Lepisosteus oculatus: one gene and its partner. Each later gene encodes a partner of the first gene's protein in a complex. Links are inferred from orthologs where the notes say so. Each region holds a gene or a part of one and is shown in the gene's direction. Other genes may lie near its edges. The genes, in order: gabbr2 and kctd16b.

Evidence for each region.
Region 2: the proteins of gabbr2 (region 1) and kctd16b are in contact, whole or in part, in a crystal structure (PDB 6M8R), measured with the Homo sapiens proteins. The link is inferred for Lepisosteus oculatus from reciprocal best matches to the Homo sapiens genes GABBR2 and KCTD16. Residues at the interface, in NP_005449.5 of Homo sapiens: Ile882, Asn883, Ile888, Gln889, Arg891, Leu892, Ser893, Leu894, Gln895, Leu896, Pro897, Ile898, Leu899; in NP_001357415.1 of Homo sapiens: Asn30, Gly32, Gly33, Gln34, Val35, Tyr36, Asp64, Leu65, Ala66, Lys67, Asp68, Ser69, Arg72, Phe74, Gly79, Phe80, Arg83.

The regions. Positions count from the first base shown.
Region 1 is NC_090705.1:32,058,089-32,074,931, forward strand, and holds the start of gabbr2 (gamma-aminobutyric acid type B receptor subunit 2), read left to right. Parts: upstream 1-9,633; 5' UTR 9,634-10,418; coding exon 10,419-10,730; intron 10,731-16,445; exon of another isoform or gene 16,446-16,498; coding exon of another isoform or gene 16,499-16,741; intron 16,742-16,843. UniProt on the Homo sapiens protein: Component of a heterodimeric G-protein coupled receptor for GABA, formed by GABBR1 and GABBR2. Within the heterodimeric GABA receptor, only GABBR1 seems to bind agonists, while GABBR2 mediates coupling to G proteins.
Region 2 is NC_090706.1:25,279,683-25,296,421, reverse strand, and holds the start of kctd16b (BTB/POZ domain-containing protein KCTD16), read left to right. Parts: upstream 1-7,970; 5' UTR 7,971-8,979; coding exon 8,980-9,823; intron 9,824-11,894; coding exon of another isoform or gene 11,895-11,962; intron 11,963-16,739. UniProt on the Homo sapiens protein: Auxiliary subunit of GABA-B receptors that determine the pharmacology and kinetics of the receptor response. Increases agonist potency and markedly alter the G-protein signaling of the receptors by accelerating onset and promoting desensitization.

The DNA.
Region 1 (16,843 bases):
CAGTTCAACACTAATCCATCATGATTTTCTCACATTTGTGGATTATTTCCATTTAAATGATCAGTGTCAGGACAAAAAAACAAACAAGAACATAATTCATGGCATAATGATCTTCAGAGTCCAGTACATTAGGGAGGTAAACTAGTTTTTAAGGTTATTTTAACAATGTTCATACAGCACCACTAACAGTGACGTATTTAATATGTGCAAAATAACCAACACATTTTACAATGCAAAACACAGGGCATCTGTATGTTTTATTTCACTTGTCTTTTTGGAGTGTTCACCCAGTTATGAAGCAAATGTAATGAAATACAAGTGAAATGAAATATTAGCATTCATGTTCAATTGGTAGAAAAGTTTTCTTCTTAACTCTACCTAAGCTATGTTAAAAGAGCACAGCTTCATTTCAGTTTCCAGCAAAAAGGATACATTATCACACCCAAACTCACACCCGAAGAAGGCTCCTCAGCCGAAACGTTGTTACTTCTCGTTTCAGCATGGAATAACCTTTAACTTGTTCCTTTGTAGCCTATACATGCTAACGCAGCTTCCTACTTGAAGATACATTATCAGTCTTTTTCCTATAATTAGAAAACTAACTTGTTAACTGAAAATATATCCATTTCCCATGACATAGATGGGTGATATCTTTCTCCTCGTTCAGCTTCATGGTTATTTTGACATTATAACATTGATCATGTTTCAGGAGTGTTTTGGGTTTGATGGGATTTTATCTACCTCTGCCTTATATTTCTGCATGTACCACAAGATAACTGACCAAGAAGAGACAGCAACTACACATGGAATGGGTGGCATCTCACCCAGACCAATGCAACTTGCAGACAAATATACAGTACTATGCATGCACTTCCTTCTGAAGGATTGTAATCACTATGTAAAACATTCACAGTCCATGGTATGTCAACTACAAAGTACTGGTGTAGTGACTATCAGAAACGACTTGTTCCTGGCACAAGTCAGTGGCTTACTATACAAAGCAAACATGTTATTTAACCAAACAGTTTTCTTTTCTATGTTCTATTATAAGACCTAAAATCTGTGCTTCTGTTGTAACTGACTCTGTAGCAGCAGTCTCTTTGAATGAAAGGGTTTCCAAAGAGGATAATCAAAATGAATAAAGTAACATTTAACATTGTATTATATACTATGGTATCATGCTAATGAAAAATGTGCCATCCCCAGTCAGGAATCAGGCCTTCATTGATGAATTTGAGAAATAATAAAAGTAATTATTATTATTTGTATTATTATTTTTATAATAATTATTATAATCGACCTACCTCTTTATTTGATTGATTTAAGGAAAGCGTCCATACTTTTATCTCGCATATTCTCTACAAAATTCCACACATGTGTTCTTTAGGCATCAGCAGGATTCACATAGAGTTTTGACTGCCAGACTGTCATATAGATAAACAATGTAGAGTTTTCTCCTTTGTTTGGCTTAGACCAGTGGATTTATTTTTCTTTATCTCAGCAGTCAAGTCTGGTAAGATAGAAGAATGCAAGATACTATTTCCATTAAGAAAGCAGTGGTAATTCTTTATGAACAATATATACGGTATTGTAACTGTGCTTACAAATAAATGTTCCGGACTATACTTTTTGTTACGGAGTGATAGCAAAACTGAACCACACATCAGATAAAGTATTATAGGCCTCTGGAAGAGGGATGAGTGACATTTGTAATGGTCTGTAGCTAATGCATCTCCCTCAGAATAAACAATCTAAATAACCAGGTGTAGATACCCAATGCTGAACACATATTGTTTCAGAGACAGAATGATCAAGAATGATTTTTCCCGAATACTTAAATTGTAACCTAATTTATTCACTCATTGATTGTCTATCTATTTGAAAGTAAGCTTTCCATTTTTAGTTTTTCATTTATCCATCCATTTTCGAAACCCCCTTATCTGATACAGGGTTGTGGGGGGGAAACGGAGCCCATCCCAGCAAGGACATGAGGCAGGATAACACTGCATGGGACACCAGTCTATTGCAGGGCACACACAGACATAGACTCACACACACTAACACTTGATTCAATTTTCCCAAAAGCCAATTAACCTACCAGTACTGTATGTGTTTGGACTGTGGGAGGAAACTGGAGCAGATCCTTAGCCACAGAGCCACTGCACCGCCCGAGATAAAGGTTTGAAAAATGTAAAGAATTGTGGAGAGGTGAATCCTGCACATTTTGGAGCTGAACAGTTTAAAATGTTCGAGTATAACATTTCAGTTACAGTATAAACGTTGAAAAAATTCAGTTACTGGACACATGCCTGCTGAAGGCCAAGGTCAATATATTGTTTTTCTGACACATGCACTGTTTATCTGAACATGTTGCAAGTCCTAAAATGCCATTTTAGTGTAATTGTTATCATACATTTTACATACATACTGTTGCCTATGACAGCAAAGCTTTTGTACCAGGGGTACTGTATATTTTCATCCAAAACCTTGCATCATCTAGCACCTTTTTCTTTTGCAGATACAGCAAGCTTATTTGACCAACACCAGTAGTTGTTAACAATGGTGTCATTTAACAGTAGAACAGTTTGGGAGGAAGGCTGTTCTAATCTAGCACATCTTCTCTTGCACCCTTTCCTCGACTTTAGCTTCATCACTGTAGCAGCTCCCAGGTCTCTGGTTTCCTCTGGGAAGTGAGAGGGGTTGTAATGAAGTCCATCTCTGGCTAGCGCTGTAGTTGACTCTTCCAGGTGAGCCAATGCCAAAGTATTAAGTATGCTGTCCTTTAATCTTCCTTGTCTAGTTCTGTTAACATCGTAATGGAGATTCTCCAAACTATCAACAAGGCTGTGATTTATGCAAAAAACGTAGTATTTACCAACAACAGCTACTGTATGAGAGGGTCATGTGCCATATGGAGTTTTCTTGGTTGAACATGTAATTGTTGTTGCAGTATATTGATGTACTGTACATACAGGTTTTGTGCTTTACCCTTTATTGGTTCAGGTTCAGCAATTTGCAAAACTGATGCCTTTAGTGAAGAAATAAAAGGCTTGCTGAAATGTACAGTCCCACAAAGGAATAACGGAGAAAAAAATGGTAGTATAGCTATTACATTCCTATCATGTTTGACTTCTGGTCTTTAGAAACTGAAACGATGTATAGAGTTTTGCACCATGAAGTTAAGGGGGGAATGAACAAGCAGTGAAAAAGGCTTACCTGTCAATGCTGCAAATGCAAGAAAGTCTTTCAATCAGTCATCTGTGATCTCATCCATCTCTTTCTTGAAGAAAATCAGGGTATCAGCTTTCAACGAAATGGCTGGGAGGCTTGTTCCAGACTCCCACAGCTTTGTGCAAAAAGTTGTCCTCTTGTTAATTTTAAATTCATCACCCCCTTTGTTTCCATTTGTGTCCTTTAGTTCTTGTTTCACTAATTTGAGGATGTCCATGTGATTCACTTTGTTAGTTTTCATTTCAGTCACTTTGGCCAGGCTTTGTAAGAGATCCTGAAACAGACTGATGCAAGTATAAGATATCCATATTTTCACTTTCTTTTTGTGAAGATATGTATATATTAAAGCAGACTAGGATAATCATAACCAGCATAAAATTATACTGATCTACAGTATGCATATGGAGAACTCACGCACCAGTGGAAAACTTGCATTAGGGATGAAGTAGCCTTCGGAGATTCCCGCTTTTTAGTTGTCTCAGATGCAAATCATTGTTGGTAATTTAGCTAAATGAACTAAATGTAATTTAGTTCAATGAACCAGAAAAATGACTTGTTTGCCATCTTAGAAGATTCATCCTTAAAATGGCATATCAACCTCACTGCATTTGGAAATTAAGAAATTTAATGTGATTTTCTTGACGTCATTTTCCTGCACTCTCTCTACTTCCCAATTTATTTGTGGAATTTGCTCCAATTTGTTTTGCTAGTTGGATATGAATTAATTAGTCTAAAACTTCATAGTTGACATATAATAATGGATAACAATAAACTTATGTCTACAGTTTGGCCAGTTCTACTGAATGCATAATTAAGGGGGTGTTTTTCAAAGTCATGTTTTCCAATAAATTAATTAAAATGTATGAAGTGAAGTTTTTTTATCCCAATTCCCATGGTTATAACTTTTCATTTCAGAAGTGTGATAAAGCTAGGTTTAAGTAATAGTATTATATGTTTTGCAACCACATCTGTTGATATACAGCACTCAATAGTTAGTGTCTGATAGAGGGGCTCTAGATTAAAATATTTTTAACTGGTACAGCTGCACGTGTAAATGGAATACCTTTTTTGCTTTAGTATGAGGCTAGAAAACCACAAAAGGTAGGAGAAAATGGGACATAGTGGTATAAAAATCAATAGCATCTCATACTGTATTTCAGTACTGAAACCAAATAATGGGAAAAGTAGAATGGGAAAAATCAATTGATTTTTCACTACATTAATCAGAAATCTTTGTTTCACATGTCTCACTGATGATTGATAACCAACAGCCAACCATCCTAATCTCACAAGGGTTTTTGCCAGACGTATTCCAACAACAACAATCTCATTGTACAATTACATAAAAGCTTTGAATTTATTACCTCTTTCAGGGTAATTGTCTTTTTTTCTGTTTTAGAAAGAAGTTGTGTCCAGCATTTCTATTTATTCCTGCATGCTCAGAGGTGGCTTTATCTTGTATCCTTTTTCTGAGTCCTGCCCACTATAGATTTGTTTATATTGGTTCAATGCAGACCCACAAAAGACTTATTGGTAGCCTTTGACAAGTAGAAATATATATGCTGACCACTCAGATGGAATGGAAATCGCTACAGTACCTCATTCATAACAACTGTGAAACAATGAGACGGATCTTTTCAGATCATTTGAACCCTTTTCAGTCTGTCGTCATGTAAAAGATTGCATCTTGAATTTACCTACATTTTCATGAGTAAGGATAGATTTTTTTCACACATGATCATTTTTCTACTAAAAATGATCTGTTTTTAATTCTGTTGTTCGGGTTTTTCTCAATTGTGAATACAAAGAAAACTGAGGGTATGACACTGTAGCCACTTGCTCAAAAGTCATATCAGCAAATCAGTATCACTAACCATGTACAGTATGTACAACTTAATTCCAATCCTTCTTCAAACTAGCTTGGCCGATGTTTTAACATTGTTAATGACAATTCTTACTCTTGAATTTCTTCCTTTTCTTTACATACAGTTCTTGTTTACCTTTTCAATTTTTCTTTTATGGAAATCAGCCCCCAACCCCCTTTCATTTAAGAAGCTATTGCAATTATTTGGGCCTATAATCAAAATGCACATCATAGCCTTGAAAAAATAGCAGCTCAGCATTGATACGTTTTGCTCGTCCAATGCGCAATATTCCCTTCAATTGCACATTTACTCTCTCTTGACACCATATGGATCCTACCTTAATGAAACTGTGTTCATCCTTGGCAGCCCACAGACTGGTTAGATTCCTAGGGGAACACAGCATTAAAGGATATTTCAACGACAAACAGACACAAGGATTAGTGTTATTGATGGTACCCCTGGGAACACTATGCCACTAATAGGGGCAGTGTTTCAATGATAGGCTACCCAGGACTTCTACACCTTTGACTGGAGCTCCTCTGAAATAAGAACATTAGAAAGGTTATAATAATAATAATAAAAAATGTTATTTTAGATAGCACCTTTAAAGGTGGCTTCTCAAAGCACTTTACAGGATGACAACAACAATAAATAAAAAGAATACACAAGATAAAACACAATTACAATACACAGAGGAGACCATAGATGGTGGTACTAAGAAAAGCAGGGGAGTGAATAATGGAACCAGTTAAGTAAAGGCTTTTCTAAAGAAGAAGGTTTTGAGTCTGGATTTGAAGGAGTTTAGAGAAGGTGACTCTCTGAAATCCTTGGGCAGGGAGTTCCAGAGCTTGGGGGCAAAACAGGAGAAGGCCCTGTCACCCATACAATGTAGATGGGCTTGGGGGACAGTAAGGACACCAGAATTAGAAGAGCGAAGGTTGCGAGGTGGGGAGTAGGGCGATAATAGTTCAGACAGGTACTGAGGTGCCAAGCCATGCAGAGCTTTGTACTGTAGGTGAGCATGAGGATTTTAAAGTCCAAACAGAATTTGACAGGAAGCCAGTGCAAGGACTCCAGGATAGGAGTAATGTGACCATTTGCACTAAATCTGGTCAGGATTCTGGCTGCTGAATTTAGGACATACTGCAGTTTGTTCAAAGTAGATTTAGATACCCCAGCAAGTAGAGCATTACAGTAGTCAATTTGAGAGAAGACAAATGTGTTGATCTGCTTTTCAGCCACAGTTAGCGATAACATAGGACGTAGTGTGGAGGGCATCTATTTTATAGCATGGCAGCCTATTTGGTAGTCAGTGGTTAATTAATGCAAGCAACTCATTCAGCTCTTTCTTAATGTGCTTAGCTTCAACAACATCACTGGGTAGTTTGTTGCAAATTCCCACAACCTTTCTGGTTTTTAAATGTATGTCTGAATAGTTTCCATTTGGAACATCTGGCTCCTGTTTAATTGTTGGTTCGCTTCACTGTTCAAGACTAAAAAAGTTTCATTCCTTCAGTCTGTCAGTTAAGGACATTTTCTTTCAGTCTGCATCTGGTAGCTCTTCTCTGGAATGATTCCACAGCAGTAGTATCTATTTTATAACATTGTGACCAACAGTTTATACAATATTTTAAATGAGGTTTTACTAGTGTGTTAAGAATTCAACATAACATCCCTTTTTTATTTAAATTCTATGCTTTTAACTATACATCCTCGCACTTTGTTTGCTTTACTGCTTCCCTACATTGTCTGGAAGATTTAAATCATGTGTCAACGTAATAATATTAATATCATATATCATAATATGTATTCATAGTTCACCTTTTTAATTCTTTTTCAGATTCATTTGTTTACCTCTACAGTATTTGCTGTACCGCCTAATTTGGTATCATTTGAAAAATGTAGTCAGCTAAGTATACCGAAATCTAGAGATTGATACAAATTGAGAAAAGTATTGGTCCTAGTACAGATACCTGAAGTCCTCCTCTAATTACATCACCCCTTATATGTGTCTGCTTTCTATTTAATAACCAATTCTCAATCTAAACACTGAAGTGTTCCCGAATGTCTACAACCTGCAATTTGAAAATTAATATTTTATGGGGATAAAATCTTTTTGAAAAGTCTTTTGAAAATATGAATACTGTAACTCGTATCATAGGTCTGAGTGTACCTTACTCCGGTGTTGGTTAGGCAAGATACTGCTAGCATTACTGAATTCCTGTTGATTATTTCTATATAGATGATCCACCAGGTTAGTTCTTATGATTGTTTCCATTACGTTACATGTAACAAATGTCAGATGTTTTGGTGTGTAATTTATTTTTGTAAGGTGTTCTCACTCTTTTTATGGATTTGTACTACATTTCCGATTCTCCAGTATCTGGGTGCTGCACCTGCCTTAAGCGACTGTTGGAAGACCTGCCAATGGCTTCTGAATAACATCTTTTGTTTCCTTGGGTACAATTGGTAAGATACCATTACACCCTGGGGATTCATTTATCTGAAGTACTTCTAGTATCTGAAACTTCTAGTATCACTCTCACTCTTCTATCCTAATACTAATACAAAACTTTGTCCTTCTGCTGACTGAGGTATATTGTTTATTTCTTTCTTAGTGAATACCTGAGTAAAATGCTCTTCTAGTACATCAGTCAACTCCCTTTCATTGTCTGTAAGTTTCCTATTTTTTGTCCCTTTTATATCTAACTTCATAGTAAAATGTATACATCCCTACCGTTTATATACACCATCTATAAAATGTTTTTAGGACTCCTATTTTATTCATCAGGTTGTTTACATCCTTATAACGCTATACATGTAAAAAACGTACAGAATAATATCTAGAACGGACATTTACACTGTAAGTTCTGTTGTGTGAATTTATCTTTAAGAATTTCAATATACATTTATTAATTTAATGTTTGCTTTATTTGATGTTAGGCGCCAGAGAGACAGCTAGCTTCGGAGCAGAACATCTGAGTTTGCAGGTGACAAGAGATCGAAAAGGCAGTTGAATCGCTTTAACACTCCAGGGACAGAGAGATCTTTCTACGAGTAGAGTGTGAAACCATATATTCTGCAACTGCCGCACTTACAAAACGAGTTTTTAAATAAACGTATTCAGAACACAGATTTCATTTTCGAGAGATGAGAGAGGATCTGTTGGTCTCTGCTCTTCTGAAGTGGACGCGCATCTTAATTCAGCACCTCGGATAGCAACCTCAATGCTCTGCCTTTATTGTCGGAATAGCCCTTTTCCTATCATTTCGAACTGCTTTTCATTATTAAACATAAGTTGTTCGCTGTTTTCTTTGCATTAACAGTGTATTCGTTCTTTAGTTTCAAAGTACTTAAATCTTAAACATTTTCGAAGGCATGTTTGTACATAATTGGTAAGATATTTAACCAAGAAAGGTTTAATTTAGTACCTTACAATTCTACAACAAACCTCAACACATATTTCAAAAACACATTCAACAAAAATTCAGTGTTTTTCGTATATTATTGTTCGTCACCTAAGCTAAATGGACGAAACATTCATTGGTTATCATAGGCATTAGACATGTAGTAAAATGTCTGATATATTTTCTAGAAAAATAGGGGTAAAGAATTATGACTGAGATGGCCTTTTCATTTTATGATTATGACTATAATTTACTCATATCATGGTCTGAATGTCACAATTCCTAGAAAAGTGTCCAGTTATCGTGAACTGCTAGATGGCAGTGTTTGTATAAACCAGAGCCTTCTAATTATACCCTTGCGTCTGGCAATTTAATAAAAAACGCTTTTCCATCACACAGATGCTTCAAAATAATTTAAACCATTCAGGATTTATTAATTTAAACCTTCAAATGTTTAATTCAAGTCAAATTTTAAAACAACGTTCGTCTGGTAAAACTGGTAAACATTTTTGTCACAAAGCAACTGTCCATGAACATTTTGGGTCAGGTGCATGCATGATAACCTGTTACCATATCTGATAATCGGATATAATGGAAATCTGTAAAATTACGCTTTTGTAAAAGAGAATGTAAAATATCCTAACAACATGAACTAATCAGAGCTTGTGTGAGTGCTTGTCTGGAAAATGTTCAGTATCTGGGTAGGAACAGTTCAGTTGAAATCCATTCTTAGTTACTAAAAAAAGACCATATTACACGCAGTGATTCAACACGGTGCTCTTCTGCGTAAACAATAGTAGCTCTTCCCAATACGCTGAAACCGTAGTTTACCATGCGTGTCAAACAGCCAACGATGAGGTACGGGTCGGTTCGGACTGCGGTGCTGTACGCGCTCTCTGATATCTCTACTTGAACATGAAATCTAATTAAAGGCGTTTAGGTTTACGCGGTGACATTTTACTAGTCTATTATGCCAGTAAATAAAAAACAATCCAAGACGCTATTACAGTACCTTTCTCTTCTAGGCAGCTGGTGATTGCATGGGAACGGGTACCAACAGTTCCCTCGAGGTTTTTTTTTTTAATCTCCTGCACAGCTCGCTCTCTCTCGCGCGCTCTGATCAGCACAGGCACAGAAGACCTGTTCAGAAGCACCAAGACAGCAGCAGCAGCAGCACGACTCAGGCTTGGAAGGAACGGACTCGATCACATCTCCTCACTAGAGCTGCTGCTGCTTGCAAGATTGCTTTTTACTCCCTTTTAGTAACAGCGTTGAATTGTCCCCCCTCTCTCCTTCAAAGAAACAGGGCACTGGCAGGAATGCAGTATCCGCACTCTGATTTTTTTTCGCCAGGAATACTTTCGGATACGGGATTCGTTTGCATATCCAAACACTCTTACTGCAAGTAGTTCAATAATATTGCTTCTTCTTTTTTTTTTCTCCCCTTCATCACTTTGGATTGTGATGTACTGCCCTGATTGTGTCGGTATCTGGGAGGTGAAAGGAGGGATCGAGTTGGAGAGACTTACAGATTAGCACATACTGTACTGCTGTGGATCACAGACGGCAAGGAAGGGGAAGTGAATCTCTTTCGTCTGTTCACATCTGTGAGAAAATCCCCGTTTTCATCACATCGTCACTGTTTTTTTTTCTTACATCTGGAAGGTGCTTAGGGAGAATCATACCGAAGCGCCATTAAAAGAAGATTGCACCTTACCGTGATACCCTCACCCTAAAGAAAAGGATATTTTGATTGCATCTCTGCCTTCGGCTTTTGTTTTACTGTAATTCTGTATATATATATTTTTTATTTACAGTTGGGTGTAGGATCCACCATAAACGCGCAAAATAGGAACAGTTTGCAATGCCAGGGCAGTGAAAGGGTGCATCTATTCCGTCGCCCTGTTCAGATAGCATGGCTTCATCCCAGAGGAAATGCAGCTTGGAGATGATTGTGGTGTCGGGATGCATGCTTCTGTTTATCTTGGGATTCCGACCTGTTTTTGCACGAGGTTGCAATGACAACGCTGGGCACAATTTGGACAATGCGTGGTATGCTAAAGACGGCAAAGAGTTGCCCATCATGGTCTTGATGCCGATGAATGAATCAGCGCTTATGAGCAGTATCAGTCAAGGGATCGACCCCGCTGTTCAGCTTGCCATTCAGCATACGAAAGAGTCCGGGAATTATTCTTTCTCTTTGATCCCCAAAATCTACGACACTGAGGTAACTCGCAGTGTTCTGTTCATTAATATGTCGTTGGTGTTGGTTGACGGTTACAGTCATGTCTACATGATATAACACTGGCGGGGAACTATGCATGCACGATGAACTGCCAGTGATGCAGGTACGGTAGATTCATGTGGAAACTGGATTCTGAGATGGGTTGGTACACCTGCGCTGCACACCGCAGCCAGATCTTCTTAGTATTGATGCAGAAAGACTTCAGAGATAAAATAGAACAACGTGACATCCTATCCCCAAAACAAACTAATCAAGAATGGGACTGAATCCACACTACCGGCCATATACCCTATACAGTACCTAGCTTAACACAGAATAGATAAAAATAAAATACCTGCGCAAACGTCATGGCAATTTCAAAATCTTGGGAATTATTTTGTAGATTACTTTTGGTTAAAATAACTAAGTGACATGAAAAGAGACTTAAATAAACCGAATACAGGTTTTAATTTCTGTGAGGAATGATGTATACAACACATCGAAATATTGTTAATGGAAACGTTAAAGCACCGCAAAACAGAAAGGAAACATTTAACTTTTCTTCCGTTAATCGATGTAGAAACGCTGATGTTTTCAATTGCAATCAATTGCTTAATTGCAACCAATTATAGACATTTGTAAAAAAGATGTCTACATTTGCAGGGATTATAAAGTCACAATGCTTTCCTACAGTATAGTATATGCTGGTGCATGTCGTATTTTCAATATACTGTCCTTTCAAGATCCTTTTAGTCATTTTAATAGATATGAATGATTCCTGTAAATTCGAGTGGCTATGAAACATTTATCCTTTTATCGTACATTAAGAACGTTGCTTAAAAATTACTTGACTTTCTTTTTAATGCCAAATGTGCTGTTTACAGTGGACGCTTGCCACCTTCATCAATAATCTATTTCAGTCACGATTTATATTATTTTGTCACAAGCTTGCTGCTAATTTTGTTTACCTGAAGATGGCAGTAATTTCTTGTTCAAAATCTTTTCTAGTCTAGCCAGCACATCATTGTGAAACCATCAATATTAAAAGTAATCGAGAAATCTTGATCTCCTTGACATTATTATGGTGGTGACTTTTTAGAATATTTCTGCATCGAGGAATCGGGCTATAGCACATTTTATGTAACTTTGTCCATCTGTTATTTTGATTATGAAAAACGGGACGTACTGTAAGTAATTCCGGCCAACTTCATTCACCAGAGAGATGCCTTATGAGACTTCTGTCTCAACAGATGGTTGGAAAAATATCACAGGTGATTAAAAACCATGACGAAGTTTCCTCATCAGAATAACCACATGGCCATCGTGTTTAGAATGACTGGAGAGGACTCGTTTCCTCTGGAAATTATCAGCATCGTAGAATATTTTTGCTCATTGCACTTACTGTATCTAGTGCTCGGGTAAAATGGAAATTTTAGGGCCACATTATCCGATTAGAAGATTAATACCATTACGAAAGAAATATATACTGTAGATCACTTTTTTTAATTGATGACATTTATCACAAATTTAATTCTCCTCACCCAATATGAAGGTAAAACTGATCTAAAAAAGAAACAACACATTTTTTTAGTTCTCGACATTGTCACAGTGAGCATAAATGACTGAAAATTACTGAAAATAAACCATTGACCAACAAAAATTAAATCAACCAGTCAATAAACCAATCTCTGATCTGGTATGTAGTCGAATTGAAGGTTTTTTGCAATGTTAGCTTTCCTTGCCATCTTTATTATTACAATCCAATTAAGTATGTTTAATGAAACTTATGTTATGGTTGTGTAGAGCATTTTAAAGGTGCAAAGGAACATAATTACCTTTAATTTAGTGGAAAGGCAGTCTTAGCCAAAAAGCATTTAATAAATGTCACTAAAAGCTCACTTGAGGTCAATTAAGAAATTCATGAGGTATATGGCCTAATTGTTAAAAATGCAATCATTATGGTAGTGGGCTTTGAAAATCTAACAGAAATTGACAGTGCATGGAATGCAAAGGTGTTGCTGAAACTTTTCATGGCTTAGTAATTACATTGCATTCTCTAGGAACCCATGCCGTTAAATTAAATATTCTTTATATTCCTTTGTCTGTTTTGTTCATCATTAAGATTATTTATAACGTGTAATATATTGGATACTCATCCAGAATTGGATCTTTGTCTTGGGAAGGGGTGAACTTTAATGGCTTTGAAGGCTTGCAAAATGAAATTCATTTGAATTCCAACAGTATTGGTACATGTCCAATATTGAGTACAGTAATTAGCCCGTAGTTTTCCCAGATAAATTGCAATTGACATTTAGCCTGTCAGTCCTGTACATTTGAAATACCTATTAGGAAAGTGCAGGTCGGACTTAATCCTAGAGGTATGTTTTAACAGAGAGTGCATAGTTCAGTGGATGGAAGTGGGTTAATTTAATAAAATGCAAACATTTTGAAAATGGATGAGTTTAGAGTTACAGTATTTATTCCTAGGCTTTTCTATCATGGACTTTACTCCAAAAAAAAAGTACAGAGGGGCTAAGAATCCTGAATGTGTGACTTACAGTACGTTCCTTTTCAACCATTCCATCCATTTTCAAAACTCTTCACCCCAGTCAGGGTTGTGGGGGAGCCAGAGCCTATTCTGGCAAGCAGAGGGTGCAAGGCAGGGTACACCCTGGGTGGGATACCAGTCCATCACAGGGTGCAAACACAGACACAAAAATTCACACCAGGGCCATTTTTACCAGAAGCCAGTCAACCTACCAGTACGTGAACACAGGGAGAACATACAAATTAAACACAGATAGCACCCCAGGCCAGGACTTGAACCCAGGTCCCCAGTGCTGTGAGGCAACAATGGTCACCACTGTTTTAAGATAGCAGCTTTGTGCCTTTTTTATTTTAATACCACAGAACCTGAAGTTGGTGAGAATTCCACTCAGAAGCTTCATGAGGGCATACTATTCAAGTGCGCGATGATAGTCTTGCAATGTTCACTTTACATATCGAAGCAGGAGAAAAATATGGTTGCAACATGGAAATCTAACATTGACCTGATCGTGAAGAATTGAGCAATTCTTTTTTCAGTTTGATTCTGACACATCTGGTAGCATAGTCTAGAATTTAAAAAAGGCCATGTAAGTAGGCAGGGTGATCCAAACTCTTCAATATCCCTTCACGTTCTGCGTGTTCTTTCATTTCAGTTTATCTTCCGCTTCTTTTAGCTTGAGTTTTCTTTTATCAGGATCACCTTTATAATCTTCCTGTACACTGAATTACTTATTGTCGCTGAAAACAAAACCCGCAGACTGTGATTCATATGCCTTGGGATCTCCACACAGTGTCCAGTATCTACAGGTGTACAGTATGTACAGAAAAGTTAATTTGCAGAGACAAGATATACTGTAAGTACCACATACCAGGTACTCAGCAATGCCAAGTAGATGTTGCACATGTTGGTTTCTGTTCTTCTAGCTTTCATACTGTATTTGACAACATGTGGTGATTACTGGCTTTGTGTAGCATCTATCTGATGTATAGCTTGGAAGACCATACAAGTCCTGTTTGTTCTAGAGGTAGTTCTAGAAAACACATACTATCATCAGAACAGTGCATACTACACTCAACAACTCTGCCGGTCACATAAAGTCTCAGATGACTCTGTTTTAGTAGCTTCAATTGATATGTGGGGGATTTAAAGAAGAGGAACAGGAATACTAGTCATAAGGTTAGACCTACAGTAGATCACAGAAAACAAACCTTTTAATTTACATCTAAGGTTATGGACTGGTTGGTAGCTGTTCCTGTTGCAAAAAGGATTTACTATACTAATAAGTGTGCATTGACTGTGGACATTGATTTTCTACTAGTTCCCACAGAGGAAACATGCATAACATTGTGAATTGGAGCACGGGATGCAAAGTTGTAAATGTGTCATGTTATCAGAATCATGAGGAATGTAGCAATAAAAAACTAGAAAGAACTACAAACATTTGATGGAGAAGCTCACTTGTTTAATAACCAACAGCCTGTAATATCACTATATAAGTAAAACATAGGTTTATTGCACTGTTTTATTGTTTATTGAGTCAAAGAATCTCAGAAGACTTCATCAATGTGAGAATAATTCTATTAATATAACTATGGGTCTAAAGTAATTTTTTATACATTTTAAGGAGCCCCGGGCTACAATACATTATCTCCTGTGATTTTCTTTCCCTATTCACTTTAGAAACTCTGAAAGGGGCAAATGTTTGTTTGGTGTCTGGAGATTATTTGCAGACTAGGGCTGTTTGTTCTCTAAAATCCACCCTTGGCATCTTACACTGACCTCTCTGCAGCCCCAGGGAATTATAATTAACATTCTATTGCATTATGTCTAAAACATTTACGCTTTCTCCTAAGCAAAACACATTTTGCTTTAGAGCGATAATTTACTGAAGAAATACATCTCCTTAATATTCCCAAAGAAATGTGGCCCAAGCCGAATTCAGATGTACAAATGATACTCGTAGATTAATGTATAAAACATAAAATTCATTACTTTGTGTTGAATAATATTGCTTAGAAATCCCAGTGCTGATTGCGGTGATTGACCATAAAGTGTAACAATGTATACATGATTTATGTAGCTTCTCATTGCAGATATTGAGCATGACAGATTAGTTGCTGTACAGATCCCGGCGATCAATAAGTAGTATCAGAAGCTGTGTGTTCATTTTTATTACTCTTTTTCATCAGGTAATCTAATTGAAAACATTCGTATTCACTAGAAATGAGATCCATTTATACCTTAGCAGCAAGCTGTGGGAAATACCAAGTTAAAGTGCACAACAGCAGCATCCCACAAATCTCTGGGTGGGAATGTAGAGACCAAACCACTCCTTCACTTTGCTCTTCTATGTTTACGGAGGTAATTGTGGAAAAATATGACCCCTGAAAGCTCAGAATAAACACGTCTACCTGTTCCTTTAATTTGACCATAATGCCAGGGACTAGCTGCATCATGGTTAGTAATGATCAACCTCCCTTTTTAATTGAAACGATAACATACTGTAGCCATACAGCTGTGTATAAAGGCAGACATGCTGGTAGCTGCAATACATTTACAATAATGCAAACATCACAGGATTAAGATACATTTTAGAGGTGCTTGGTTAGCTGATTTCCTGTAAGTGTTGCTTTAAAACATGTCTCAATGAAGAAAGTATTAAGGTGTAAGATAGATCTTAAAGGGTTATACAGCCATCTTCAATTTTATTGTTTAGAATGATTCTACAGCAGTCTGCTGTGTCAAGGGTATAATCCTGTGCTTCGTTCTTCATTCAATTTGTGTGTGAGATCAGGCCTTTCACAAATTCCCGTGTTTTGCCCTCCAGCAAAACACAATCCTGCCTGTTTAAAGAGGTACATACTGTATTTATCATACACTGATTAAAATGCCTCCATCACCTCTGAAATGTTTAAAGGTGTGGAGATGTTACATTGCTTTTATTTGTCCTGGTTTTAATGCAAGTAAATCAAAGGAATGCAGAGCTATCCACTGGCATTTACTGAACTGGTGTGCTAGGCAGATTGAAGTAATCAGCCCTGAGCAGCTCTTTATCCCTTAATCACATTCTCAGTGTATTCTCTAAGGGACAGACCCCCTTGCGGGACAGAGTAGCAACAGGCTGCAGGAGATCAAGCTTAAAGAAAGGCTTTAAGGGCTTTTATTCCCTGGAGACACACTGAAACGGGGAGACGTAGCAAGAACGAGGGTGCCAGAAGGTAAAATGGATGCCTGGACACAAGCGCTAAAGATTCTAGTTCTTTTTGTGTGGCTGAGGGGGCCCAAACTTTGCGAAAGTCCCCACACTCTCCCTGTCATGTGGATCATGCCCCTCACCAACTATCCTGGGAGAGGCAACCTTACGGCTGAGGTCTTACCAGCTGTCCAACTGGCTCTTCATCACCTGAAGAAACACCCATCTCCGTTTAAGAATTATGAAATCCAGTTTCATTTGGAAGATTCCCAGGTAATTGATTCCTTACGCATTATTAATTATGTGCTGCAGGCATTCTTATTATTAAGCAAAGGGAAATACTTTGTGGTTGAGTTTTCTGAGAAGTGCCTAAAT
Region 2 (16,739 bases), on another chromosome or scaffold:
TTTCAATGAAGTTTCAATATTTGTCCTCTAATTTCACTGCAACATCAATGTGTTTTGTGATACCTGTTATTTTACTTTTTTGAGTGCGCTTTCTTGCAGAATTTGAGGCTATAAAAATAATGGTAAAACATCAGAACACCATATCTAGTTAGAAAGCCTGTAGAATGAAAACTACAGCTCTGCATTATACTGCTATTACATCTGTACTTTGGGATTAAATAAATTCAAAAGAAAAAAAGGTAATGGTTGTAAACACTGGTTTAGATGTTTTCAAAGCCTGTAAATAATGTGTGGATTGAAGACAGTGATGTTATTTCATTTTCGTTTGATTTAATACCTTATATTTATCAGGCAAATGCTTGCAGGAGTATTTTAGAATCATTTAAACAATTTTCTTATGATGGATTATCATGGGAGAACAGTGGCACTAATGCATGATTATCCTGAGCCACCTATTACTGAGATTTATGAAGGGATCCAGAAGCTGGTAGCCCATTGCACTTCTGAAGAGATTTTGAAACACTCTCTTCATCCTTTTATCAGACACACATACTTTAAAGCTCTTCTGAACTGCATCTCAAGTGCATAAAGTATTTTCTTATAGACTAGTTCAATTTCAATACTCTTACTGTGCACAGCGCATGTTACATTGCATGTCATTTGATCTTTGCAAGGTCACTGGTGTTCTGCTTGGAAAACATCCTCTTCACTGAGCATTTAAATGATTTCTGTACTTATTCTACTGCTTTCCACTGCATCTGCAGAGACAGCTCTAATGCTTCTTAAATAAGGTCCTTTTATATAATTTAGTGGGACATTCTCAACTTTTCAGTGCAGTACCTTTCTTGAGTGGCCATAAAACACATGGGGAAATTGACTGCTCTTCAACAGCACAATCTTAAAAATAACACTTTTATTAAGAATGGTGATATTGAGAAGAAAATGGCATTCTGCATTCCTTTTACATCCAGTCTGAGATTGTTTTTAGGGGGTCAGTAGTAATACTGCATTGGATGATCAAATATTAATCAAAATAATAGCAACATATAGAAGACATGAATTCGTAATGATTTAGTTGAAAACTATATTCCTGTCTTCCAGATCTGTTTTTACAGAGACAGAGTGTCTGCCATAAGGCCAGTAGATCTAAATTAAGTCTCTAAATTATATCTTCAATGCAGAGATAAGGGCACTGATGGGTAAATCTGGCAGCAATTTCCAAATAATCTGCATTATCAGAGGAAATAGATGATATTTTTTTTGTGCCTTTAATTTCGATGCATACACTAAACATTACTACGGTGAGTACCCTATGAATATTACAGAGGAAAAAACACAATTATATTGTTTTCTTGAGATAAATACATGAGCCCACATTAATGTGAGTGTCTGAAATAGCTATGATTTTATGTTTCCTATCAGAAATAATAACTTGCTATTGCATAATGTAGAACAATACTTGCAAAATGTGTGAGATTTTCCAAAGTAATACTGGGTGCTTGATGAACAAAAGCATCCATCCCCCCATCATCATGAAGCTACTTTATTGGTAATGTGGCAATTGGTAATTGGCCCAGGACATATCCCAGAGGCAGAAGGGACAAAGTGGGGTTACACTCTGGACAGAATGCCAATCTATGGAAGTGACCTCACACCACAAAAGCTCACAGGAGTAATTAAAAGACATATCTTAACCTATCCTAATTTAGAAAGGGAGACTTTTTTGTCATGACCGGAAGATCGGGAAAAATATCTTAGAGTCAATACAAAATTCAACAGGAAGCCAGCGCAAGTATTGTATTTCAAGACAAGGTTAATATGTTTGTCAGAATGAAACCTGCTCAGAACTTTAATTACTGAGTAACTAAATGTTCCTGGATAACACAGCAAATAGGGTATTGTAATAGTCAGGTCTGGATAAAATAGCATGTACTATATTGCATGAAGCTTTGACAAAAGAGAATGGGGTAATATTTTTGAGATCGGGATAACCTGTCTTGGTGACATGCTGGACATGTGCCTCAAGAGTTTGACGAGAGCCCATACCTTCAGAGTTTTTGTTTCAGCACTGAAGTTGGTTTGAACACTATACATTAAATAGCCACAATGAAGCATTTTGATTTTCACCCTTCATCGTTCAACTGCCAGAAAAATCTACAACGAATGTTATGGTTCACAGGGTCAAAAACAGCACTGAGGTTCAGTGGAGGTGAGATTAACAAAATGTAATATCATGTGGTCATACTGCAATTTTACCTGAGCTTTCATTAGTCCCAGCATAGTTTTGCTGTACTGGATTCCAACCAAAGGCTGGTAGTTATTGCCGAAGCTCTGGATTATGGCAGTCAGTCCACTGCAAATGGATGAAGAATAATACATTGTGAATTAAAGAAGACAAATCAGAGTAGGTGCCAGACTTCCTTCATGTTTTTACAGGTTAACAGAAAGTAACATTTTCTCCACCCTGTTCCCTGTATAGTTCTGTAAAACACAAACAGCAAGTCTTGGCTCTGCAGAAAGTTAGAAAAAAAGAGCTAGGGGATGTTGTTAATACAGAACAGCATTTACTAATGAATGTGTAGTAATATAATCTTTTCAGAACCTTTAACTTGCTTGAAGGCTGTTTTAAAGTACTGTAAATGAACCACAAGTTATTCCCTAAGGGTAAATTCTAAACATTTGGCCTCATATGCTATACTGTACATTTTCTGCCTTCCAAGGCAGAAAATTCTGAAAAGATCCCACTTTATTAATCTAGAAACACTGAAGAGCCATCAATAGGATTAATACATATTCAACAGAGTCTGTCTTTACTGATGGTGATTGAGGGTTGTAGAAACACTTTTCAGCTCTCGATTAGTTATCAGAGCTCCCAATTTTTTGGGACACTGCTTCCTGCACAGGTTTCTGAGATGTTTCAAAATTATATAGTTGCTTGTTTCTCCTCAACAAGCTTTTTATTGACAAGGTACAGAAAAACAATAAAGAACTATGCCTTTGACATGTGACCGTATTAAATGAGAAACATAATTTTACATATTGTCCAGCAATGGCCATGATGGAAATTCAGAGCTACTCTATCTACTTTGATGTTTCCCTCATTTGGATAGGCTGTTTCTAGTAGATGTTAGTTGAACTCTATAGAGCAAACTAAAAGATATCCGGTCAGGCACACTGGCAAATTACAACAACTCTGCAAAAATGCAAGATAATCTGCTCCATCACAGTTGATCTAAATCTCTTTTCTAATTTACCTTTAACTTTATCAATATATATTCTCATGCTGGGTCTGTTGATGTAAGAACAAAGCTGCCTTGCCAAGTAGCTTTAAAAAAAAACATAACATGTGCAAACATGGCATGCATTTATTTATGATTACAGCAGTGGCCTAGTTACAAATGACTGCACCGAGATTCCTGCACATTCTGTTCTCATCTCAATATGAAGTAAGCAGAAAAATGAAATACAACAATTTGGAGTTTGGGGAAAAATAAAAGCTTTTCCTTCTTGCAATTAAGTAGGAAAATATTTCTGAGTTATCAAAAAGAAGAATATTGAGAGATTTTTTTGCATGACAAAAGAGAGGATTGATTAACCATAAAACGAAATGTATTTTTCCCCTGATTGATGAAAACCTTAATGTCCTCTTCCAGCAGAGCAGACAAAAGGGGTGGAGTCAATAAATCTCTCATTTGTGGTCTTAATAGTTACTCAATATTCCATTAGAGCATTAAGGTATCCTTACTGCTAGGCAGTCATGTGACAAAATACAGTAATTCTTTATTTGACCCCTACTACTTTTGTATTATACACTACAAAGTGCTTTATGTTAATGTTTCTGATGTATAAGATGTCACTTATTTAACTAAATTTCACTTCTGTTTTTATATATGCTCGCACACCTTTTGTTTCCTCAATTAATGAATATTTAAGAAAGCAACCCCTTTTATTAGCTTCATTTTGTAACTATTTAACCTAGTGAATGAAATATTTTTGCTGAGTTGTCACAGGTGTTCTTTACGAAGGAGTTGGATTTCAAGACACAAACAGGCACTCAGTTACTAAGCTCTTAGACTATAAGGATATAATTTGCAGAAATACTCTTATTCCCAAAGATTTTTTTCTTGGTGCCAGCCCAACACATAAAAGTATGAAACATGACATTTTGCTAGCGTATCAACTAATCAAATAACCTACTGAGGGCTGGGAATGTAAACAGATTTTACAGTTTGAAACTCAGGTAGTGGCACTCTGCTATAACTTGTTACACAAAACTCCTTGGCGTCAGAGAAGTAACGCCGACTCTTATATAATCCAAATCTGTGAAATCTGAGTTTTTTGAATGATCGAGTATGGGTAGCTTACTCATTTTGAAAAGATTCTTCATGTGACTTGTCCAAATGTGACTTTAAAAGAGGCAGACAATTGACTTAACTTATAGAATAAAATAATAACACAACTTCATTGAACTGTTTGCATTTTTTTTGTTGGGAGTTACTTGGAATTGATAGAGAAAACCCAAAAAAACTATCACAAACAGTAAAAACAACAATAACAGCTACTGTCTGTGCTCAGAGTCTTCCTGATGAAAGCTTCTAAATATCACAATACCAGAACTTGCTTTGAAGACTATAAACAGTTTTTACAGACCAACAATAATAGTGCAAAGATTTTCATCATAATATCATTAGAGGCTTGTATTATTTACCACTAGGTGGGGTTCTGAGTATTTCTTTCCAACTTCTTTGATATTCTACAGTTTCAACCTTCTCAGATTGAAAGACAAAAAATAATAATAACATGTAAAATACTGTGTATATACAGTAGGAGTTGCTGACTCTCTGACAAGGATACAGATTCATAGCTGTACAATAGCTATTCCTCTTCTTGTCCCAATACATTGCACAATTACAATTAATGGCTACAAAAACAGAAGGAAAGATGATGATTTCAGTGCTGGGACAGCACAGAATTGCACAGCAAATTACTGTTAGAAATTGTATGATATAAATTTGTAGTTGTGATGCAAATTAAGTTGCTACTTGTGTGAAATGGTTGCTTCTTGTTCTTGATACACTTATGGTCCCTCAATCTAGGACACACTCGAGTAGGCTCTAACACTGCAATAAATGAAAATGGTAGAATATTACTTCATCAAATGCAAACAAAAGGAAACCCAAGAAGGAAAGCGTTAATAAAGGTGATTGATGTACTTAACTGAGACTGCAGCCCTGAAAGGAAAATCTGGACTTCACCATCTTTCAGGTGGAGAAAGATAAAAATAATGACATTAAAATTGTGGATTTTAAAATCCATTTGATATTGTAGCAAATATATAATATATACAGACAAGCCTAAATCTGAAATTGGAAAAAAAAATGATACAAAGATGCATTAGATCTGCTCTTATTGAGAATGTCAGATTGGTTATGACACTTTGGCAAAGGAAAAATGACTTTTAATAACTTTTGGGCTTTAATAACTTTAATTTATAATACCTTCACAGAGTGGCATTATAGATTATCCTCTACCAGTATAGCAGTCTGAAAATAACTGTTAGCTGAACAAACAGCTATTCCTTTTGATAACACATGTTCTCTTTATTTAAAGAGACAGAATATTTGAATTTTAACCATAGAAAAAATCCCCTAGTCTATACACATAACAAGTGTGGTTTATTTTAGATGGTTAGGTCTACTATACAAAAGGAGAGAATTCGCTCTCAGGCATGGAAGTGGAATTAGAAATCCTGTGTCAATCTGGTGCATGGGGCAGTTTGTGTATAACCTTTTTCAATTTGTAAAGCAGTGAGCTATCCTGAGATCCAGCTGTTTTAACATCAGCTAATTGATTAATTGAGTGAAAACGTGACAATAGTAATTAGCAAACTTTAGACTGTCAACTATGACTTAATTCTGAGAGACAAATTGTGGATTATTTTAAATATGTGCCTGTTGTTTATAAATATACAATCGATATTAACATGCTTTGTACAACTCTAAGCTCACCCTGCTCTCAAAAAAGCAAAAATGATCTTTTTCATGACTTCAGCCCATACAGTATTATGCATTGAAAAAAAACTGAATGAATAGCTCAAAGTAGCATAACTGTGCTTGTACATCAGCTGGCTTTACACGCTTCACTACACTTTCCTGATAAGACTTTCAGTCATCCTTTTTGTATAAAACCTGAAAACGCCAGAAAAATTAGGATGAAGGCAGAGAAATTAATGGCTCACAGATCTTTTTTCTAGAGTGCAGACTTGAGGGTGTTTGAAGAGAATAAATTGTTTCTTTTTCCCTCAGTTAAACATTTAACAATTCTATTTTGCATGCACCGCAAATGTGGAAAATGTTAAACTATGTGAACCAAGCAATTAGAGTTTTGAATTCATTGAAATCTTGTTTAAGTTAATTGTTTAATCAATAAGAGTACTAGCAGCAGAGGAAATTCAACATCTGGATTATTATGTTTTTTCCTTACCCAAAATGCCCAAGGTGATAAACACATCATATCTTTTTAATATCTTATGCTTTGCATTATTTCACTGTAGCAGTCTGCAAGCTTCAAACAGGAGCCATTTGGTTGTTCATTCAAGAGAAACAGAAGCATATACAAATAGAAGCATCTTATTTTGTGGGTAACCACACAAGTCTGTATCCATATGGACTTTCTGCTGGGGTATCGAGGCAAAAGTAATGCAAGACGTAACAATCAAGATGTGGTCTATGCTGATCTGCTCCATTACATAATATTGCTACAGCCAGCAATTAAGAGGCTAATTATACTGAAGTCCTGCCAATCAGAGCCAATAGAAAAGTGAGACCAGAGAGGAACTAATGCAGGGTCAAACATATTTCCTGGAGGGCCTTTGTGTTTATGACTTTGTGTTTTTGTTCCACTGAATGTCTCAGCTACTTAGCTGTTCTAATCATTAAATTATCTAAATAATTGTAATACATTACTTCTAACTATGAGCCAAGGTGATTCATACACCCGTTCTATTAGAGAAGCGAATATTTTGAGTAAATAATAGCAGACAACATTAAGACAATTCTTACACCTTTCTGTGACAATAATTAACGTTTTTAATTGACAACTCAAGCAGGGACAAAAACAGGCACCCCTGAACTAGCATAAACACGAAGCATAATGTAGTACAAATCAGCGATAGTTGTATTTAATTGACTTCTGAATGTTAACCCCCGATGCCTTGGAGAAAAATAAAATGTGAAGGATCATCTTCATGTTTTTTTGACAAATTAAAAACTCTTTCTTTAAAAGTTCAACCTTTTCCAATTAAAAATAAAATATCCTTAGCTTCAGACGGTGAACCCCAATAACTTAAGAGTAAAAACCCCAAAAGTTAAGTTGCTGACCTTGGTGCTGAAATAACGCGAAGCCCGATTCGAGAACGCAGTCAACGCTCGGGCAAAAGGTACTTAATAGCTAATTAAATATTGAAAATGTACACATTTTTAAGTCTACAACTTACCCCTGTCCTCTTTCAGGACCATCACCAAAGCACTTATTAATTTAGCTAAAGAATAAAAAAATAACTGTAACGAATGCGAAATAATTATATTGTTTAAATAATTAGATTAAAATGTTAGAGAGCGGTAGTCAACGAGTGTAACTTTAATCTCCCCTGGTCATAGGCTATTTTTAAGATACTGTAGCATTAAGTCAAAATGATAGATTCATCATGTATTATTGTAAAGATACGCAATGAGAACACATAATTAAATTCACAGAAGTATTAATTAATTTGTCATTAATTTACAGCATTCGCGATAATTCATTCAGATTAGTTTTTAATTAATTCATGTAGGATGTGGTGAAATATGGAAATGAACGTTTTCCTAAATAAAAACACGATGAGGTAAGGCAATTTTAGACAGCATTTTCCTTTAAGATGATGTAAGAGTTTATTCCCCAGGATGGTTTCTCCCTGCACTGCTGAAGCAACATCAGCTCAACCGTTTTTACTCGGTACCACCCTGCTCTGAAGGCACCCAGAGCATCATCGCATCTCCACACTCGGCTCGGGCAGTTCAGACAGAGGCGCGCACACAGTAGCCAATTTCATCAGTGCAGCCACCAGCGCACAACAGCAGCTTTAGATCCGATTGAGCTTCTGACTGCGGATAGATCGAATTGAGGCGAAATTTCGGCGATCAAGGTGGAATTCCATGTGGAACTGCGTCATATTAGTGGAATTTTTCTGAAGTTACTAAGGACCACAGAAAGATTAACCAAATCACTCATCACGCCAAATAAGTTGGAAATACCGCCAGTGTTGTGTTCTACCCAGCCCCAAGGACTATGAAGTTGCTGTGAACTTATAACATAACGTGTTTAGAAATAAGGAAATATGTGAAACCACATATTATTTCACTGACCGAGGTGAGGATTTACTTTATCTTAAGATATATCTTCAGCTGTCGTCGCCTCTGAAACATAGTAATCTAAAAATACTGCGCTTTTGAAGTTATCGACCTATAGCCTGTTTACATTTTAATATCGGACTGAGGAATCTTACCGAGTTATTCCCCTCCTCCATCCCCGTTTTTAACTAGTTTGAATGCTCCTAGGGGAGATTCTAGAAACGGATACCTTGCATTTTAAATGCATAATAATTTATTCGTTATAAGCATTTATACATATCCAATAAAACATACGTTATCTGTTGGAAATTCTACTCCTTCATTCTTTTTTAATGAATCAAACGAGATTAATCTAGCTGTACCAATGCTTGCATCAACTACCCAGAAACACTTTGGGAAGTGAATGTGTTGCTATTTTTATTTTACGGCTCTAAGATTTTTTTTTTCACCCAGTGCTGTAACAGCTTGTGAAGTAGTTTCTTTCCTTATTAGTGATGTTCTGGCTTGATAATCACTAATACCGATATTTTTGGAAAGCTCTCCTCTAGTCAAGTATTACTGTACAGACAACGGCTCGAAGATTTTCGTGTGCATGACTGAAACAATGGCTTTGAGTGGGAACTGTAGGACTTACCCGCAAACCAAAGAGCAAGGATCTGTTCAGAATTCTTTTCCCGATGTTGTAGAGCTAAATGTGGGTGGCCAAGTTTATTTCACTCGTCATTCCACCCTAACTAGCATACCTAATTCTCTACTGGGCAAAATTTTCTCGCCTAAAAAGGATCCTTCAAACGACTTGGCACGGGACACGAAGGGACGGTACTTCATCGACAGAGATGGGTTTTTATTTCGGTACGTGTTAGACTATCTTAGAGACAAACAAGTCGTCCTGCCTGACCACTTCCCAGAAAAAGGCAGACTAAAGAGGGAGGCGGAATACTTTCAGCTGCCCGAGTTGGTCAAAATTTTGACCCCCGATGACCTGAAGCAAAGTCCGGACGACCTTTTTCATAGTGATTTCGAAGAAGCATCCCAAGGGAGCGATCAAAGGATATGTCCGCCATCATCATTAGTACCATCCGACAGGAAATATGGGTTCATCACTGTGGGGTACAGAGGGTCATGTACAATGGGCAGGGAGAGTCAGACTGATGCCAAGTTCAGAAGGGTGCCGAGAATCTTGATATGCGGGAGGATTTCCTTAGCTAAAGAAGTGTTTGGGGACACTTTGAATGAGAGCAGGGACCCAGACAGACCCCCAGAGAGATACACGTCCCGGTTTTATCTCAAGTTCAAACACCTTGAGAGAGCTTTTGACATGCTGTCAGAGTATGGATTCCAGATGGTGGCCTGCAATTCGTCGGTGACAGCATCCTTTGTCAATCAATACACAGATGACAAGATCTGGTCCAGCTACACAGAATATGTCTTCTACCGTAAGTCCAGTTATTCTGACTTTCATGTGCAGATTTGCTTGTGTGCCGATTGGTTTAATTGTGTCTTGAATTCTATGAAACTACTTGCGTCTCAAGCCGGGCAAAATCCACGAACTCTTTTTACGAATTTTCTTGATTTGTAAATTTCCTGCTCAAATTTTTGCGTTCTTTATAGTTTAAAATGAAAACCGATTTTTTAAAGAGCCACCGCTAGGAGTCACACTTGTTTTAGTCATTGTACTTGATACTGAGTTCTACAACTTGAAAATCGTTCCAGTAGCTTATATGAAAATATTGTATGTAAGAAACGGACAAGCCAAGCTCAGAACCCTTATTTAGTATGTAAGCAAGTTAGCTGGAAATGAATGTCTTTCTCCTATGGTTATGAATTGGGGATTACATCTGAGAGAATAATATGTTTCTAACTTTAATTCATGAGTGCTTTAATACAGATTACAGTAAATCTAGTACTGAATATCTGATATATTCATACATCGTTTAGAAATATTATTAAACTGTATGAAGGAACAAGAGAATCTATATTTCAGATTACTGAAGCTGGCTTTGTTCATGGAAATATGTTCACAGAACAGTTAAAGGATACCATTTAAAAACTAATTCCGTATTATAATGTAGTGATTGTCTGGAAGAACTAGTGTTTCTTGAGCCACAACACAACTGTATTGTAGATGAAATATACAAATTTTGTGTGTTTGCCATGGTTCTTCGTGAAGAGATTCTGAGTTTTAAGCAGTGTTTAATGATCGTCTTGAAAAACAATAAAAATGAATTTCCTTTTTTGTCATCCTAATTTCTCTTTACATTTGTTTCAAAGTGTCAATTTTCATTTTTTTCTAATTTTGCGTACCGACAGTCATTATGAAGCACCCCTCTCTAAATAGTGCTGTCACAGCTGCCATTTAGATTGGTTGCTTCAGCCTTTTTCTCATCTTATTTCAGGACTACTAGGCAGCATTATGAGATTTTTAATAGCTCTCATAATTTTTTATGGTTCAACAAAGTACTGACACTAACTATTGTGAGTCTAGATCATTTGTTGGTTGCTTGAACTCTCCTGTCAAAAAGCAATGGAAATGAAACACAGATAATCGTGTGGAAACATTTTTTTTTAAAACTCAATTAGGAAAAAAAAGGCCATCTAGGCACAGTATGGTAAAATGTAATTGTATGTGGCCTTGGTTAAGACTACATGGCAGTAATATCAATTATAGAAGTCATTTAATTAGAAAAGGTCACATTTATGATTTCAAATTAAAAAATGCAGTTTTCTGCCAAGGTCTATACAAGCTTCTCACAAGGATTACAGTATATTCTCTCTTGAGAAATTCCTGCAGTATAACCATATGAAACCCTATGGAGATCAAACGGGACACATTGTCTGAAGTATTGTGTCAGATGCTCAATACAATATACACAGTGGTTGTGTTGCTTTTTATCATAACTAAGAAGATAAAGATGTCAGAATAAGGGCACTTCTAAAATAACACACCTATACTGTTCTGGGGCACATCCTCCTGGTTTTGGTCAGCAGTGTAACATCTGGGCCATTGTTGAAGGGCATAAATGGTCAGAAAACAGAATTTAATTTGATTTGAGGCTGAAAGAACCTGAACAGGCCATATTTTATTAACCTGTACTGGCTTTGGCCATGATCCTGAGGTTAACATCTCTGTTAATAATAAAAGTGTCAGGGGACCTTTAACATTTTCTGTGTTAGGCAGGGCCCTCTTCTGAAAGATGGGGCCTCCTATAGCACCAGTGACCTTCTGTCATACTGGAATATTTTTTTTAGATGATCTAGTCCACAGGGTACCATCTGCTTGTCCACCAACACCATTTATAACAACAATGTAATTTTCTTTATAGGTTTTCCATCAGTTTCTTCTCTTTTTAAAATATGTTTTATCTTTGGACACAACAAAGTACTTAATATATATTTTGCTTTACCTGCTTTATTTAATATCCTCATAATCAACATTTAAAAAGCTTTGTAATGCATAATAATAACATGTACATCAATATGTAATAGCAAATTATATTTCTATTGCAGTATTGGAGATAATTCGGAAGGTTTCTTTAGTTGCAGAGTCTGAACTTTGCAGAATCAGCAGTCTACAGGTACAGTATATGTAATTTCGATATGAGACTACTTTTGTAAGGATGCAAATATAATTTGAGTTTTATTTGTGCCTAATACAACTTGATCTCCTTAACAATTTGATCTCCTAACTACAAAAAAGAGCTTCATAAAAATTCATTTTCAATTACTTCTGAAAAGGTACCATGAAAAACGTTAGATTTGAAAAATGACTCACTGTTTCTGCATAAAATTGTAATTCCTTTTGTTGGGAACATAAGTTCCTTCACAATATGTAAATTTCCAAGCAACTGTATAAACAAAGATGTAAAAAAGATGTATGTACATTTCCAAATTTACATTGTTTCTTTTCAAGCCCCATTTCAAACATTTAAACATACAGACATGTTCAAATAAAAAATCAATAAAAGTCATATCCTTAAAAAGACAATTTTTTTTCCTTAACTTCTGTCTACATGATGCCTTACTTCATGCATCGCTCTAAGACTTCTTTAAGTTTGGGAATATAAGCAAATGTTATGAGTCTGAGAAAGATAAATGTTTGGTTTCTTCATTTTTAACTTGTTATTGCACTTCCTTCCATTTTCCTTTCCATGATCATAATCATGCACAACACTACATATTCTCTTACACAGAAATTAAATAATATTATTATTAAATTGTTATAGTAACTTGATAACATATATAAGATTGATTGAAAACTAGGATGCGAGACACTTGAACAACTTCAGTTTAAAACTCTCTCCTGCATATTTTGGTGTTCCAGTTAGTGTTTTGCTGAGACTGATGACAAAGTTTGGCCATGAGTGCCCCTCATCATTAGTTCTTCATTTCCTCTTTGGTGTCTCACATGAGAGAGATATAGCGCCATATGGCCAATTAAAAAGCACTTTGTTGGTGATTCAAAATACCTCCCCTTGGAAAACCTAAAGAAAATACAGTTGGTGGGTCAAGGCTTTTTTGAGGACTAGAGATGGAGCAGGCATATGGTTTGTTAATTACTTAGTTCACATGTTATTTTTTTAATTATGCACTCTTTGTGACCTTACTGACACCAATTTAGGGGTGAATATTTGTGCGAATGATGGACAACAGATAAAAAAACCAGGCACAAATATAAACCATATGTGTTATTCTGTGAATGCAAAGTTTCCTTCCTAGGATGCATGCTTCACACTGAAAAATAAAAGATTTGAGCCTGTGGCTTTGGCTGTGAGTCCCAGTGGATAGTGAAGGAATTCTGAGTGAGACCTGAGCAACACAAATTTGGAATATGGAGTGAGAGTAACATTGCCCTCTTAGGATGAAATAACTGTACACAAAATGAATGATCTGTTAAAAAAACTACAGTTGCTGTATTGTTTAAAATCAATTGTTGAATAAAGTGTATGTCAAATGCTTAGCAACTGATGATTTTGATGCTAAGCAACCCATTTTTAATGATCCCCTTTAACATAATATAAAACTCACCAGTTTGTAAGTTTTTATATCATGTTCAGAGATTTTAAACCACTTGGTGATTATTGCTCCAGAATTCTATTAAGAAGGTGGAAAAAACATCAAATCTTACATTGCTTCATTGGACCTTGGTTCTAAATTATGCCAGAAATCAGTTAGCTAGAATTCGGATGAAAATCAGCAATGGTTTATTATTAATAAACATGACAAACACTGAATTTTCATGGTTATACTTAGTTTTTTTAACTACAGGAAAGCATTCACACAGCTATAGATACTACATGCTGAATGTCAGCTAATGCACACAAATGACATATTAATTATGAATAATTATCTTTATACTCCATAGCAGGGTTTAAAGTTCTTCCAATGATTTTGTCTAGTAATTTAGCTCATTTTCTTTCTTTTCTTATATATGGAAATATATTTGAAAAATTAATCAAAAAGCAGTGTATAAATTAGGGGCGTTCAATCTTGGTTCTTTTGATTCTTGGTTTCCTTAAAGTAGAAGCACCTGAAGAGCTGGGAGAAGCTTTTGATTGTGTCCAGTTAAACCAGTTACCAGCTGGTTTTGCTATTTCTGAGCTGAATAGTAATGAAAACCTGCAGACACACTTGCCCCCTAGGACCAAGATTGCACACCCCAGCATAAATGGTTGAAATATGGTAAAATCAGAGCAAAGTGTAGACAGCACAATTAATTCCTAGTAAATCACAGAGTATTGTCATGTTGCAAACATTGTGAAACCATGTCAAAGTAAAGGGAAAACAATGCATAAATGCACCATGATATTTGAGATGGGACATCAATTTCAAACACATTTCCCTATTCCTTCCTGCATATGCAGAATAGTTAGTATTTTGCTGTTCTTTTTCAGTTTATGAAATAACATTTAGCCACATTGTCATCCATCCAGTTAGAATTGCATAATTTAGTTTGCTTTGCAGGAATCACCATTCATAGTTCCATCTGCTCTGATAAGATCTTCCAGTCCTCAGCTTTAGGCAGGAAGCTGTACTATAAAAGCCTAATGGATACGTTTTGACTCAGACTGCTCTCTTGAAAACACTGAAGGCCACCTATTATGGTGTTCTGTCGGACTGTAATTCAATTTAATGGCTTTTAATGATTTTTAATGCAAAACTCCAAATCAAACCAAAATCTTTATTTTTCCCATCATTTCAAAATAAAATGAATCTAAGTTACAACCAGATTCCAAACCTTCAAAAAAGAAACCTCTTAGAGATACATTGGTAATTAACTCTAACATGAGTTTTAATTATATGGAACTGACAAAGCATTTGAACCTATGATTTAACTATAAAATTACCTTCATGACAAAAATAAGCAAAAAATGAGCTTATATTGGCATCATTTCTAAATATTTATGTATGTGATCCATATAACATTGTGGTTAACTTTGTACTTAAAAAAGATCAGGCTTTCTGAGCTTTTAGACATACAATTAAGTTGGTGAACAGAGTGACAAATTCTTTTTCCCTCTCTATTCAGCTGCTTTGCCTACTGCCAGGCGATCTTTACCTCTGGTGCAGAGTACCAGTTGCTTTTTACAGGCTTCAGTGAGTCCTCACTGCTGGTGCATGGGCTACATCTCCCGGAAGGCACAGTTATTTACCAATTTGTTTCATAGCTATAATGATTGATAATTAATCATTCAGTGTGACAGTCAGAGGACTCACTCCAGTGTACAGCTAAGACACTGTAAATCATGTCATCATCTTGTGCCAAAACATCTCCTTTTTTCTTAGTAAGAAGCTCACCTACTGTATATCATGCTCTTAGCTTTGCTAGTCAGAACAAACTAAAGATGACTCTGTAGTTTAAGCATTATAGATTAACACTGTTAGAGGATTGATCTTCAGTGGGTATTAGTGATTTAATTGCAATGTGCATGAACCTGACTTGTTTAACCAGTCTAACTTAACACATTTCTGAGTGTTTACATTCATAAAAGGTGCTGCTAATGTATTAAATAGTGCTAATGGGATGAGAATTGTATCATTTATACAAGGTCATTTTCCAAATCTTAATTAAAGGTGTCACCATACTGTGTTTATATTAACTGCAAAGACAAGAAATGTCAGGCTGACTCATTGCAGAACGTGTGGAACTCACAGCTGTAGGTATTGTCAGATAGGGCACTGACTAAAACTGAAAAGAATCAACAGGGCACAATTGTGTATTGCATGAAAATGTGGTAGAAACTGACATTAGTCTACTGGGAAATGAAAGAGAAAACACACTAGAAGTAATTTAATAAATAAACAGTATTCACTACTTTTCTATATGAATATATCTACTATTTTTAACTTAAAAATACATTAAAGCAATTGAGCAGTGACGAATCCCAGCTGTACTCCAGGCTGCAGCTCATATAATCCATCTGGTTCACAGAGCAGAAATCTGCAAATAGCCTCACTTCTGAAAAAAATCTGAAACAAGATAGAAAAGTCAATATGATGTAAACCTACAGTAAATAGTTTCATAAGGAGGATTAGTGCTTCCACCTACCACCCAGTGTATTACCCAGGGCACTATTAAGGCTGCATTTTTATGACACTTGATAATCTGACAGGGAAGACAAGAGTGGCCTTTCTCAATCAATAAATCTGATTGCAGGCCATAATTTTAGTAATTCATCAGAACTGGCCTTTTGTTTTGAAAAGTACAGCTCCCCCGAGGCACTTGAGTCCTCTTGCAATGAAGGAGAACAGATAAAACACTCCCAAAAAAATGCCAGAAAACAAATTACGAAATTTCCAGAAGTGTGAAATCATACAAGTATAGTATATTATAATGTAAAAAGCATTGGGAAATGGTACTAGTGAAAGACGGGAAACGTTTTTAACTTAGGTTCAACAACTGGAAAGCAGCAATTTTATTTTTGCAAAGGGAAGATCAATGCTATATTGAACACTAGCTAATGTGCATGCCACAATGCCTCATAATTATAAAAAAAGGCGGCCAATATTTCTAAATATCATCCACTCTGATATCCAACCAGGAAATCAAAATGACAATCAATATCAGATTATTAGAACACATCTAATGCCCTGAAATAATTAGAGGACCCGTTGCATTCATTATATACTCGATCTTTGTGTCTTAATAGATCTTTTCACAGTCTCAAATGCATGGATATATCAGCCCACCCACACATTTGTTGGTAAGAGCTTCAGACCAAGGTTAAAAAAGCGAGATGTTGCCAGCTATCGGGATGCCTGAAATAACATGTGAACAAAATGTGCAAAAACTGAACATTTGTATTAATCCAAAAGAGCAAATTCATTTTGTGCATACTGTGTTATTACATTAAA